Xenopus tropicalis: one gene and its partners. The protein of the gene in region 3 interacts with the protein of the main gene of each other region in a biochemical or structural test. Links are inferred from orthologs where the notes say so. Each region holds a gene or a part of one and is shown on either strand. Other genes may lie near its edges. The genes, in order: ube2f, ube2s and rnf7.

Region 1 (4,222 bases), on a different chromosome or scaffold from region 3:
AGCAAATAAAAGCATGAATTACTTAAGGCTTGGTCAAACATTGGGAGCCAAAGCTCTGGTAGCCGCAACCATGGGTTGCAACTACCACGAAAAAAAAGTATTTTTCCTCTAATAAAAATATAACCAGCAAGCCCAACACGTGCATGCTGTGTCACATCCAACAAGATAGTCAGATTCAGTTGGAGCAACTTTTTTTTGCATAGAATTACATGAACTTTGATGGTGGTGTTCCACAATGGATCAGGTTAAATCTGACCCACAACATCTGATCAAAGGTACTCTTTGGGTTTAGCCCATATTTCCCCATTTTTGGATAGTTGTGGGTGACAGCTTGTGTGGTCTAACTCCTCTGTGAAACAGGGGAAACCCTTTCCAGCGCTAGCCTGCTAGACTACCTTTGGTCAATTTTACTAAATTAAGTATTGTTTGGTTCCACAATAGTGAAAAATCTGACCCTTGTTTACACAAAAAACACTGGGACTCTTCAATGCCTAAAACATTACTGTTAGTATATTTTACCCATTATATTCACCTTAAACAGTCCTCCCTGTATTGTGAAAAATCTGGTTTCACATAAAACTCTAAAAACCCTTGGATGACACTTTACAAAAAAAAAAGGACCTAAAAACTCACGATAACTTTTGGTCAATTTCAGTCATTGTATTCACCTAAAGTAGCCCTTTTTTGCCACAAATTTTGACTAAATCTACCCCTTGCTTTCACAAAAATACTGGGCCCCTGATTCCACTCTAAGAAAAGATCCTACTTTTGCTTCATTCACCCATTGTATTCTAAATTAGTCATTATTTTGTCTCCAAACTGAGATGAGAATCAGCTTTAGCACGTATTGTTGGCAACCAGGAAGAACATCTTTTTTTGGTTTTCTTGCATTGGTGGGAGCTCTGAGCAGAGATAAAAACAACTGAATGTTTGGTTATACATGGGCAGCAAATGCTATGGCAGGTAATGCTGGAAAGTATTCCCCTCTTTTGCTCCTGACACAAGTAGAAGTGTAAGTTGAAAACCCTGCGCCTAATAAAATACTAGGCGCAGATACTCTAGCTGCAGCTGGAACTCCACAGAATATTTTTCCTAGCATATGTGCAAATTCTAGATAGCAAAGAAAGCATGAATTACTTAAGGCTTGGTCAAACATTGGGAGCCAAAGCTCTGGTAGCAGCAACCGTGGGTTGCAACCACCACGAAAAAATGTATTTTTCCTCTAATAAAAATATAACGAGCAAGCCCAACACAACCTCACTAGTGCCCATAACGCACTACCCCACTCCGCGTTCCCTCACCACTCCCACTGGGCGGCTACGTGCGGCGTTCCAGCGCTTATATACGTGCTGTGTGACGTCATAAACTCGCGAGATGAGCGGTGTGACGTGCGGATTCGCTGTCCGGCAGGAGTTAAGGAGCTAGACCCTAACGGGGCTGAGGGACTTTTTAACAGCGATCCGGGACTGCGGGCTGTGATAAGAAAATCGGCACTGTCCCGGAAAAAGAGGGGCTGTTGGGCGGTATGTGGCAAGGCAGCAATTAGGGTGCCCAGAAGGTTGCCTGCCTTTCATATTTACAGCAGTCATTGATGTAATGTAATAATGTATCAATAATACTTAGTACTGAAGGAGTCACTGGTGCTGTTTTTTATACAGTAGTAGTCTGTACTGTACATCAGAGCAAGCTTCTCTTTAACCCATTCCTAACTATTTCTGTACTACAATCCCAGTATCTTCACACAACTAAATCTGTATGTTGGGGGCTTGGGATCATCATATTTGGGAACAACGTGTGGCCCCCCACATAAATAGCATTTATTTGCCAGTTTTTTACAGTCAGAGGCTACTTCTAGGCTGTACCCCTTCTGACCTGGGCTTGCTAATTGTGACCCCAGTTTAGAGTAACAGATGGAGCTTGCTGGGCATGCATAACTTCCAAATATCTGTCCCGCTGCTGATTGGGGGGGGGGGGGGGGGCTTAAGAAAGGGTTCTTGTAATAAAAAAAGGAATTTAAAGTGGGGCGCACAGCTGATTTTAAACCCATGTTTGAATCAGATTCTTTGTAAGTGCCACCCGTAAAGAAATAATATGAACAGGTGATTAAAGTTCAATAAAATGTAATACTATTATTTTTTAAAGGAAACATGTCAATCTAAGATATAATTCCAAATCCCATTTTTAGTCATGTTAGTCAAAGTTTACTTTTACTACATAAGTGTTGTCCAAATGCTTACATGGTGAGGCCAACATTTATTTATACAGCATGTTTAAGTCGCAGATTATATTGAAAAGATGATGTCATACAGTGAAGCCCCCCCCCCACCCCCCGAGAAGACTGGGGTCCTGTGGAAGGCCACATCAGACCCAAGACCTCCAGTTGGACTATATATTCAGTCTTGGAAGTTACAATCACAGCAAAAGGCAGGCACCAAGCATTGCATTGTTCAGAATTCTTGTTTATGCACCAGAATGGGGGACCTGACACCCATTCACAGGCTACACAATGATTGTCAGTGGAGGAAAGTGACATCTAGGAAGTGCAAAATGGAAAGTGAAAGTGATTGCTATGTCTGAGGCACAGAGGTGCGGAATCCAATATAGGACTGACAACTGAACTTTTTAAATACATTTGAAACAAGTATGGATGTTTTAATAAACAAACAAATTTGGGTTTCATAATTTGCAAAGGACTTTTATTATACAGCATGTTTTTTTTAAAACGCATCAGTTAATAGATCTTCTCCAGCGGAATCCTGCACTGATATCCATTTTTTTAAAGCACAAATTTTTTAATATTTAATTTTAAAATTTCGCATGGGGTTAGCCATATTCTTCGATTCCCAGGGTGCACAGTCATGTGACTTGTGCTCTGATAAACTTCAGTCACACTTTACTGCTGTGTTGCAAGTTGGAGTGATATCACCCCCCTCCCAGCAGTTGATCAGCAGAACAGTGGGAACGGAGCAAGATAGCAGCTCCCTGACACCTGTATTGCTAAAAGTGGTAGATCTCATAATAGCACTCCGTAGAAAATCCAAGTCCGGCTCATGACTCCTTCAGTTACATTGAAGTAGGAGAAATAATAGGTTACCTGAAAGCAGTTCTAATGTGTAGCGCTGGCTCCTTCTGAAAGTTCAGACTCAGGCACAACACACTGAGATGGCACCTACACGCCAATTAAAAAAATATGTTTTGCAATTTAGAAAGATAAAGTGCTTCATAAAATCATGGCAGAATCCCTTTAAATTCTTTGTTTGACCAACTAAACACCTCAACTCATCACTGAATTCTAGTATCCTAAAATGTAATCCCAGTGTCGGCTATGTCAGTCGTGCTGCACATCTTTTTGCATGCGTGCTGCTTCAAGTGCCAGATGGGCACGAAATGCATTAGGCCGGCATGTTATCTAAATACAAACTTTTTTACTTTTTCTAAACTTTTGGCCTGTATGTTGAAGCTTTTGTTGGAGTGGAAGTCCTTTTGTTTTTACAGATGATAATGTAACTATATTCCTAGTGTTGGTGATGTTATGAGGCAAAGTTTCGTAGTTCTATAAGGCCCGTAGATATGGAGACTGCTACCTCTGTGAAACCCTATATTCCTTAGACCAATCTTATATTTTATATATAGTTTCTTTACAGATAAGACCGTGCTACACATGGGACACTGTCAGTATGATATTCCAGTGTGTCTTAAAGGGGTTGTCAAAACAAGTCAAAAAGTTTATTTATGATTTGTTTCCCCCTGCTTTTTCACCTTGTTTTTCCTTGCTTTGCTTAGATCCAGCCAAACTGTAACATACGCTGGGTGATTTGTCTACATTTTTCTTCAAAGCCATTTTTTGTTAATACATTAGACATTCCTTAAAGGAGAAGGAAAGGCTAATAGAGTTTCTCAAGCTGCAGGCATACCTTCAGTTCTCTCAATAGTGCCCTTACGTCTCCCCATATTTCTCCTGTTCAGATGATCAGAAGCCTCATAGGAAAAAAAAAAGCTGAGCTCTGAGTTCCCATAATGCCTCGCTCCTGCACCAAGACCGGTGTAAATGCGCAGTTTGTAAGACAATGAGGAAGTGTCCTGCTGATTGGCTCAGATCCACATTCCTAAGGGGGGGGTGAGTTCTTAGCATTCTTGAGGGAGGGGGGAGCAGGAGAGGGGAGAGAGCTGTGAGTCTCTGACACAGGAAAACAAAGAGACAACAAATCTTTTGACAGTGGAC
Region 2 (4,335 bases), on a different chromosome or scaffold from region 3:
GCTTCATTCGAAAGATACCTCCTGCATATGGAGTGCCTTCTGTAAAATATTTAGAATGTATTTGAATAGTGGAGATTAATACATACACATTACAGAACAGATAGATAAGTCATTAAAAAATGTTGTCGCTAAAATTTACAAGTAGACACCCCTTTCCAACATTAATGTAATAATTAGGGCCTATGCTGAACATACTTTTTGCCTATTTAAATATCTATGGCTTTCATTTTATGCAGTTAACAGGGCAAAATCTGAAACTACCATATATAAGCAAGTATAAGCCGAGGTACTTAATTTTACCTAAGAAAACTGGAAAACCTATTGACTTGAGTATAAGCCTAGGGTGAGAAATGTAGCAGCTACTGCTAAGTTTCAATAATCAGTTAATAAAAGGACAACTCTGCGTGACCCCCTGTGAATTCTACATAAATATATAATGTTGGCAGCTGCAGATTGTCGAGTAATATATCTCCAGAACACTTATGTATTAACAATTAAAGCAAACTGTCATGATATAGTGATAATGGGGCATCTGTCCTTCCATAGGGCTTAGTGAAAACCTGGTGGGAATTATTTTCTACCATAGGTGAAAAAGTGCAGAATGCCAACACAGGTACTAGCTAGGCCCTAGCTTAGACGGAGGAGGAGACTGACTAACTCATTTATTTATGGCAGGGGTCCTCAAACTATGGCCTGCAGGGGGGCCATAGCTTGAGGACCCCTGTTCGAGCCTGTCAGGTTGGCAGGGGCAGCAGGGGGTCACACAAAGGGGGTCTGGAGGGACCCATGGCACCTGACACATTTTGGGTGCTGAAAAACTTGGCTTATACTCGAGTATATACGGAAAATGTAAAGTCAAATTTCTTCCTGTTTATACAAGTGCAACCAAAAGAAGCCCACACACCATTAAGCTCTGAAAAATGGGGTATACTGCCCCCTTTTGAGGCCTATGGAACATGACTTTTTGATTGATAGCTGAAGTAGAAATTGTACCTGGAAGAGACCAGACTCCTGTTTTAGGGGTTAGTCCCAGAAGAAAAACTGTAATGAATGTATACTGGAAAGTTGCTTAGTGCAATATTTTCTCTCACTATGCAAATATAGGTTTTTGTATACACCCATTTTACTAAGGCTTAAAACTACAGGTCACCTGAGAACTACAAGAGTTTCAATAAGGAGCTACTCATTGTTAGAAGACAACTCTCCTGCTTTGCAAATGAATCCAACATAAGATGGGTTGGGGGCCCTCAGTCAGCCCTAGAATTCTTACACCACCACCTAGAGGTGGCAGAAACCTTATGGAGCATAAGGAAGCGCCCCAGCTAACTTGTTATGTGTATAACGTATTATCGGGGGGCACTTGCTCATTAGGTCTATACCCCAACAGGGAGTTCTAGGTGTGCAACAGGGTTTTTTCTTTTGAAATATACTATTGTTTCCACCATACAGAGTGCAGGCTCTTAACATGCACCACTGGGATAGAGGGAACAATTTGTAGGCAATAGGTACCCTGTAAGAGATCTTTTACCAGAGGCCTGTGAAAAATATTTACCTTGTGAGGGGAATTTTAGAAACACCTCCAGTGATTATATAAACTTACCTGATAGCCTGGGCCAGAGATCCTGTTAGCAGAAAACTGCACAGACCTGAGGTACTTCTGTAAGTGACCAGTGTGAATGTGCAGTAAAGTTAAAAGCTGACTTTGTAAACTGCACTACACATGTGCTGGCCCGGGGCAAGAAGGAAGAATCGGAGGGTTGCGACAAAGTTTTCATACAGAAGAACCCAGGGTCGGTGCAGTTTTGAGACAAAAAATTGAAGATCTTTGGCAGTAACACTACTGAACCATACATTCCTAATTACAACTCAGCTATACCTCACCTGGTCCTTCAATGTTAACTTGGACATCAGTTATATCTTCTTCATTTGGAATGATCTTTATTCCTTCTGGAGGGTCAGATGTCAGAGTGGAGACTTCTTTATAGACCTGACGAATGATGTGTGGGGGCAAGTTTTCAACGTTTGAATTCTGTAAGAAAAAAAAGATAACTAATCATTACTAAACAATAACCATATCTAGTTGCTTTATAGTAATTAGTACCAACTGACTAGGAAATCCGGTATCAAAGCAGCATCACAGGCTGATACCTCTCATTCATAACTCCCAAAACCCAGCATTATGCTCATCATAAAGAACTGCTGGAGATCTAGAGTAGGGTATGATAACCAAATAAGACCAGTAGCGATATCACGGGCCAGACAAGGCAACAACAAAATCAGATGCAATAGTAAATGTATTATCAGATTGAAAATATACAGATATTACCATTTCCCTAAGCCAGTCAGGCCAACCTACAGGCCCAATTATACAAAACATTTCCCTGGTACCAGTATGACAGCTCCCTGACAGCTCAGATGCACATACAGAGTCCCCAAACTCATGGGGTACAAAGCCAGCGATGGAAACGGATGGGAGAAGTCAGAAAGGGTTTCGGGGAAGATTAGGAAATGTATTTCCTTCCCAGTCAGCCCTCAGAGGGGTAGAAGCTGAATGTACAGCACATGATGCTGCCAATCTAGGTATATACATTAGCAATGCTGCCAATCTAGGTATATACATTAGCAATGCTGCCAATCTAGGTATATACATTAGCAATGCTGCCAATCTAGGTATATACATTAGCAATGCTGCCCTGACACAGTGGAACTGCGCCTCCCCCGATCCCCATAAGAGCAGGAAAGCCCCGATACTTACCATGCCTCTCTGTGCCAAACGGGGGACGGAGGAGAACTGTTCAGCGCCGTGACGGTGTTTGATTCTCTGAGGCTGGGTACGAACAGTCCAGGCCTAACTGTAATTCTACCCAATTAAAAACAAAAAAAAAGGATATGACGTTGGTGAATAACACGGTCTGGGCCTAGTCCTGCATACAAGCGTCAACACTTATAGTTTCTTCTATTTTTTACTTTATTTTTTTTTATATTTCCTTCTTTGGTTCCCACCCCAGTTCCCAGACCCAAGCCACCTATCCTTCCTTTCACTCCCCCGGCACTAAGCCTCTCTTGCTTACCGACGCCCCTTCATATAACCTTCGGCTGCTTGTAGGCACGCCTCACTCCCACTCCGCTAGCTCCTCCAATCGCAAACGTGGCGCGTCACGTGTTTACACCAATAAACTGCTAGGAAATGGAACCCGCCCCCATTGAAAGTGTTTGACATTTGCGCTAACCAGTAACGTAGCAGAATCATTAAGTGACAGCCGTAAGAGGGAGGTTGTTAGGCTGTTACCGATTGGACAGTTTGAATATAACTAAGTGACGTAGCTGGATTGGGTGCAGTTATGTAAAGCGTACGTTAGTTTTTGTTCCTGGGGAAGTGAGAGCGCTGGGCCATAGGGTTTCCGGTGGTTGCTAGGGGGAATGGTTATAGGACGGCCGAGGTGTACAAGGCTGGTTGTTGCTGTTCTTACCGCCGAATGCTATTTTTAATAGTAATAGCAAAATAAAACTGCTAATAAAAACAGCTGTGTGTCTGCAAATGAAGCAAGTGAATATTTGTTATTGATATAGAGGCCGACAGATCTACATTTCAATTGTTCTGCGCATGAGTCTCAATGAAAGTGATTGGCATGTATTTAGCTGACAGGCTGCTGGACTAGGGCAGGGGTGTCTGTGTTGTAAGGGAGGCCTGCAATAACTGGCCAGAAAAGAAATAAGGATGGAATTTAATATAATTGCTTATAGTTTCTAGCGGATATCACCTTGTCTGAACAGTCTTGCATGTGTCTTGGCCACACTCCCACAGAAGGCAAATTCTGGACAATCAGTAGCCTGCAATGCTGCAAAGAGTATTTGTGTACAAGCCACAGCAAGCAGGATACTTGCCCCCTCATTGCTGTACAAGCCACAGCAAGTAGGATACGGACCCCCTTCATTGCTGTACAAGCCACAGCAAGTAGGATACTGACCCCCTTCATTGCTGTACAAGCCACAGCAAGTAGGATACTGACCCCCTTCATTGCTGTACAAGCCACAGCAAGTAGGATACTGGCCCCCTCATTGCTGTACAAGCCACAGCAAGCAGGATACTGGCCCCCTTCATTGCTGTACAAGCCACAGCAAGTAGGATACTGGCCCCATCATTGCTGTACAAGCCACAGCAAGTAGGATACTGGCCCCCTTCATTGCTGTACAAGCCACAGCAAGTAGGATACTGGCCCCCTCATTGCTGTACAAGCCACAGCAAGCAGGATACTGCCCCCCTTCATTGCTGTACAAGCCACAGCATGTAGGATACTGGCCCCATCATTGCTGTACAAGCCACAGCAAGTAGGA
Region 3 (4,096 bases):
ATTTTGGTCGTTTAACGATAAAATCTGCCAGTTGGTGTGAGTGTCAGACATTTGTCTTTCAACGATTGTTCTCTGCGCATGTCACGATTGCCAGCAGCAGAAGTCAACGACATCGATCGTACGTAGATGTACGATCGTAGGTATTTTACGATAATGATGCGACAAAATCTTTCCCGAATTATCGTTGCCCGTGGATGGCATATCGTATGGGAACTCGATCGCCATACGATCGTTTGTCGATATAATCGTTCATCGCACAACGAGCGAAATCGCCTCGTGTATGGCCACCTTTACAAACTCCTCCTAACCTTCAAAGCCCTCTATTCCTCTGCTCCTCACTACATCTCTTCCCTTGTGTCTCCGTACGTTCCTGGCCGACTCCTTCGTTCCTCGCAGAGCAATCGCTTGGTTGCGCCCCCCACTACTACTGCGGTTTCCCGCCTTAAACCTTTCTGCCCCTTACATTTGGAATGCCCTCCCTGATGTCCTCCGGAGAGAATCCTCCCCCAGTCTTTTTAAGACTAAACTAAAAGACTTTAGACTCACCCAGCACCTGATCTGGGAACTGGCACTTATATTGTAGTGTCACCCACTGTGACCTACAGCACTTATATTTGCCTATTTGTGTCTGTAAGTTACCCCTCCCATATAGATTGTAAGCTCTACGGGGCAGGGACCTCCATCCTCTTGTGTCTTTGACTCTTAACTTATTGCAGCTGTATTTATCTGTATTTATTGTTATACTTTGTATTTATCTATTATCTTATTAACACCCTGTTTACATTAATGTATTCTACTGTACAGCGCTGCGTACATAAGTAGCGCTTTATAAATAAAGATATATATATATATATATATACACATACATACATAAATACTCTACATGCAGCTGACTGAAATGAAGCTAATTGGTCATTGGTTGCTATAGGTTACTGCCCATGTGCAAATTCACCCAGGGTTGATAAACGAGCAAAATCATCCTCACCTAGGAATATATCAATGATAACACTTTTAAATATAAACCTAATGTTCATTATATTTGTCACTAAACACAAATACTGACATCAGGCAACACCATGCTCCGCCCCAGCAACAAATCGCAGCGCCTTTCCCTTAACTGTTTCGGGCGAATAGAACCAGTATAGCTATTGGTTGCTTCTCTAGGGGCGTAACCCTATGTCTTGCGTACTGGGATTGGCTCTACAGATATATTTTGCTAAAGCGATTGGCTTAGCTTAGCCTGTGCTCTTCTCTCATTGGGTCAATTACCGCAGCACATCGAAAGGATTGGCTATCTGAGGAGCCGCCCCCTGCCGGTATGGCTGCTTTGCGGGAGGAGCACGGAGCGAGCGGACCCAAGATGTTCTCCTTGAAGAAATGGAACGCGGTGGCGATGTGGAGCTGGGATGTGGAGTGCGATACGTGCGCTATCTGCAGGGTGCAGGTCATGGGTGAGAGATACAGCTCGCTGGCACTGGGGCGAAGGCTTCGTGTTGCGGGAATTACCTTCCGCTGCCAGCAGCAGCCCTGCTTGGGGAATCGGCCATACAGTCTCTGGTGGGGGCCGGGGGTTACTGTCACCTACTGAAATGACAGGCGCACACAGGCGGTATATGGAATATACCATTACCCTTCCTGTATTGTCATCCTGGGGGGAGAGGGACATCCCATTCCTAGTAGCTTTTTATGCCCCCCTGGATGACTCAAATCTCCATAGACAGTAATGTTGCTATAGCCCCTTGGCTATTTAGCATCCTTCCCCCCCTCCCTGTGCCAATGCTTTCACCCCCCCATCTGCCCCATCTGTTTGGATTTTGCCATGATATTCCCTGTGGGACTGCACCCATGCCCACCAGTTACACTACTGCCCATACACCCCATTGTGTCACATCATTTATTCCCATACACCCCATTGTGTCACATCATTTATTCCCATACACCCCATTGTGTCACATCATTTATTCCCATACACCCCATTGTGTCACATCATTTATTCCCATACACCCCATTGTGTCACATCATTTATTCCCATACACCCCATTGTGTCACATCATTTATTCCCATACACCCCATTGTGTCACATCATTTATTCCCATACACCCCATTGTGTCACATCATTTATTCCCATACACCCCATTGTGTCACATCATTTATTCCCATACACCCCATTGTGTCACATCATTTATTCCCATACACCCCATTGTGTCACATTATTTATTCCCATACACCCCAATGTGTCACATCATTTATTCCCATACACCCCAATGTGTCACATCATTTATTCCCATACACCCCATTGTGTCACATCATTTATTCCCATACACCCCAATGTGTCACATCATTTATTCCCATACACCCCATTGTGTCACATCATTTATTCCCATACACCCCATTGTGTCACATCATTTATTCCCATACACCCCATTGTGTCACATCATTTATTCCCATACACCCCAATGTGTCACATCATTTATTCCCATACACCCCAATGTGTCACATCATTTATTCCCATACACCCCATTGTGTCACATCATTTATTCCCATACACCCCAATGTGTCACATCATTTATTCCCATACACCCCATTGTGTCACATCATTTATTCCCATACACCCCATTGTGTCACATCATTTATTCCCATACACCCCATTGTGTCACATCATTTATTCCCATACACCCCATTGTGTCACATCATTTATTCCCATACACCCCATTGTGTCACATCATTTATTCCCATACACCCCATTGTGTCACATCATTTATTCCCATACACCCCATTGTGTCACATCATTTATTCCCATACACCCCAATGTGTCACATCATTTATTCCCATACACCCCAATGTGTCACATCATTTATTCCCATACACCCCATTGTGTCACATCATTTATTCAAATAAATGATAAAAAACATAAAGTGTTGGCTACTTGTCCCACAGCATTGATGTTAATAAAGGATCTAGTTCTCTATATTGTGAAATATACACAAACAAACACTATATGGTTTGAAGTATCCAGACTCCCCTTCAGATTAGTGGAAGTTATTATTTAAGCCACACTTCAGTCTCATTACTGATCTGGGGGTATAATGAAGCACCAGCAACAAATATTGCCAAACTTAGTGATTTTTAACATGGCATCATCATAAGATGTCTGTTTTGTTGCTATTTAGTTTGTGAGATTTTGGTGCTGGTGAGATGTAGGTGGGAAAGTGAAGTAGTGGGGCCTGGATACTCGCAGGCAATGCTGAGCGCAGATTACAGCACATATCCGTCAGTTGGAACACTCACTTCTGAGCTCCACACTGTTCCTGAAAGCAATGGCAGCACAAGAACTGTTGGTAAAGTAAGAATAAGGATTTCTATGAGAGGGCAGTGTCACGCAAGCCTAACATTTGGAATGCTAAGCTTCTCCTGGGGAGGATATTGGGAGCAGTGGGAACAGGCCTTTGTCAGATGAATCCCTTGTTACCATCCTAGTTGTTTACCAAATGAGTGTGGGTGACAGACACCAGCTGGACACTCCCTACCTGAATGCATAATGCAGATTTAAAGCTTGGTGGGGAGGAATAATAATCAGTTAGGGCCCCATTGAAAGAAACAGTGTACTATACTGTTAATGACGGTTCCATGTTTTCTACTTTGTGACAACAGTTTGGGTACAGTTCCGTCCTCTTTTATCCATACTAGTCTTCCTGTGACTCTCATGGACCCATTCAGTTCCTGCGACTATCCCATTAATTTACATTGGCATTAAATCCCTACCTCACCCTGGTCTATGTAGAAATGAAAAATCTCATGTCAGATAGGTCTGTCTGTGATTATATACACACATGCACCTCAGATTGGATTCAAGCCTCTTCTGCATGGAATTCCTTCCTGTTTAGCCACATTATATAATTTATTTTTTGCTGCTGGGCAGAAGAGGGTTATAAGAGGAAATATTTTAATGGAAGGTGTGTTTTCCTTTCTAGATGCCTGCCTGCGCTGCCAAGCTGAGAACAAACAGGAGGACTGTGTGGGTATGTTAATAACTGACTGGATTTCTAAGCCCGGGGAGAGAGTTCATGGCTACCTAGTAGTGAGTGGATTAAGATGC

Evidence for each region.
Region 1: the proteins of rnf7 (region 3) and ube2f form a complex in vitro, tested with the Homo sapiens proteins (10 studies listed by BioGRID, with this or other methods). The link is inferred for Xenopus tropicalis from reciprocal best matches to the Homo sapiens genes RNF7 and UBE2F.
Region 2: the proteins of rnf7 (region 3) and ube2s form a complex in vitro, tested with the Homo sapiens proteins (3 studies listed by BioGRID). The link is inferred for Xenopus tropicalis from reciprocal best matches to the Homo sapiens genes RNF7 and UBE2S.

Annotation. Positions count from the first base shown.
Region 1 is NC_030685.2:59,017,039-59,021,260, forward strand, and holds the start of ube2f (NEDD8-conjugating enzyme UBE2F), read left to right. Parts: upstream 1-1,421; 5' UTR 1,422-1,523; intron 1,524-4,222. UniProt on the Homo sapiens protein: Accepts the ubiquitin-like protein NEDD8 from the UBA3-NAE1 E1 complex and catalyzes its covalent attachment to other proteins. Together with the E3 ubiquitin ligase RNF7/RBX2, specifically neddylates cullin-5 (CUL5).
Region 2 is NC_030683.2:106,141,931-106,146,265, forward strand, and holds the start of ube2s (ubiquitin-conjugating enzyme E2 S), read right to left. Parts: upstream 2,817-4,335; 5' UTR 2,759-2,816; coding exon 2,756-2,758; intron 2,030-2,755; coding exon 1,882-2,029; intron 40-1,881; coding exon 1-39. UniProt on the Homo sapiens protein: Accepts ubiquitin from the E1 complex and catalyzes its covalent attachment to other proteins. Catalyzes 'Lys-11'-linked polyubiquitination.
Region 3 is NC_030681.2:129,414,161-129,418,256, forward strand, and holds the start of rnf7 (RING-box protein 2), read left to right. Parts: upstream 1-1,279; 5' UTR 1,280-1,318; coding exon 1,319-1,451; intron 1,452-3,971; coding exon 3,972-4,019; intron 4,020-4,096. UniProt on the Homo sapiens protein: Catalytic component of multiple cullin-5-RING E3 ubiquitin-protein ligase complexes (ECS complexes), which mediate the ubiquitination and subsequent proteasomal degradation of target proteins.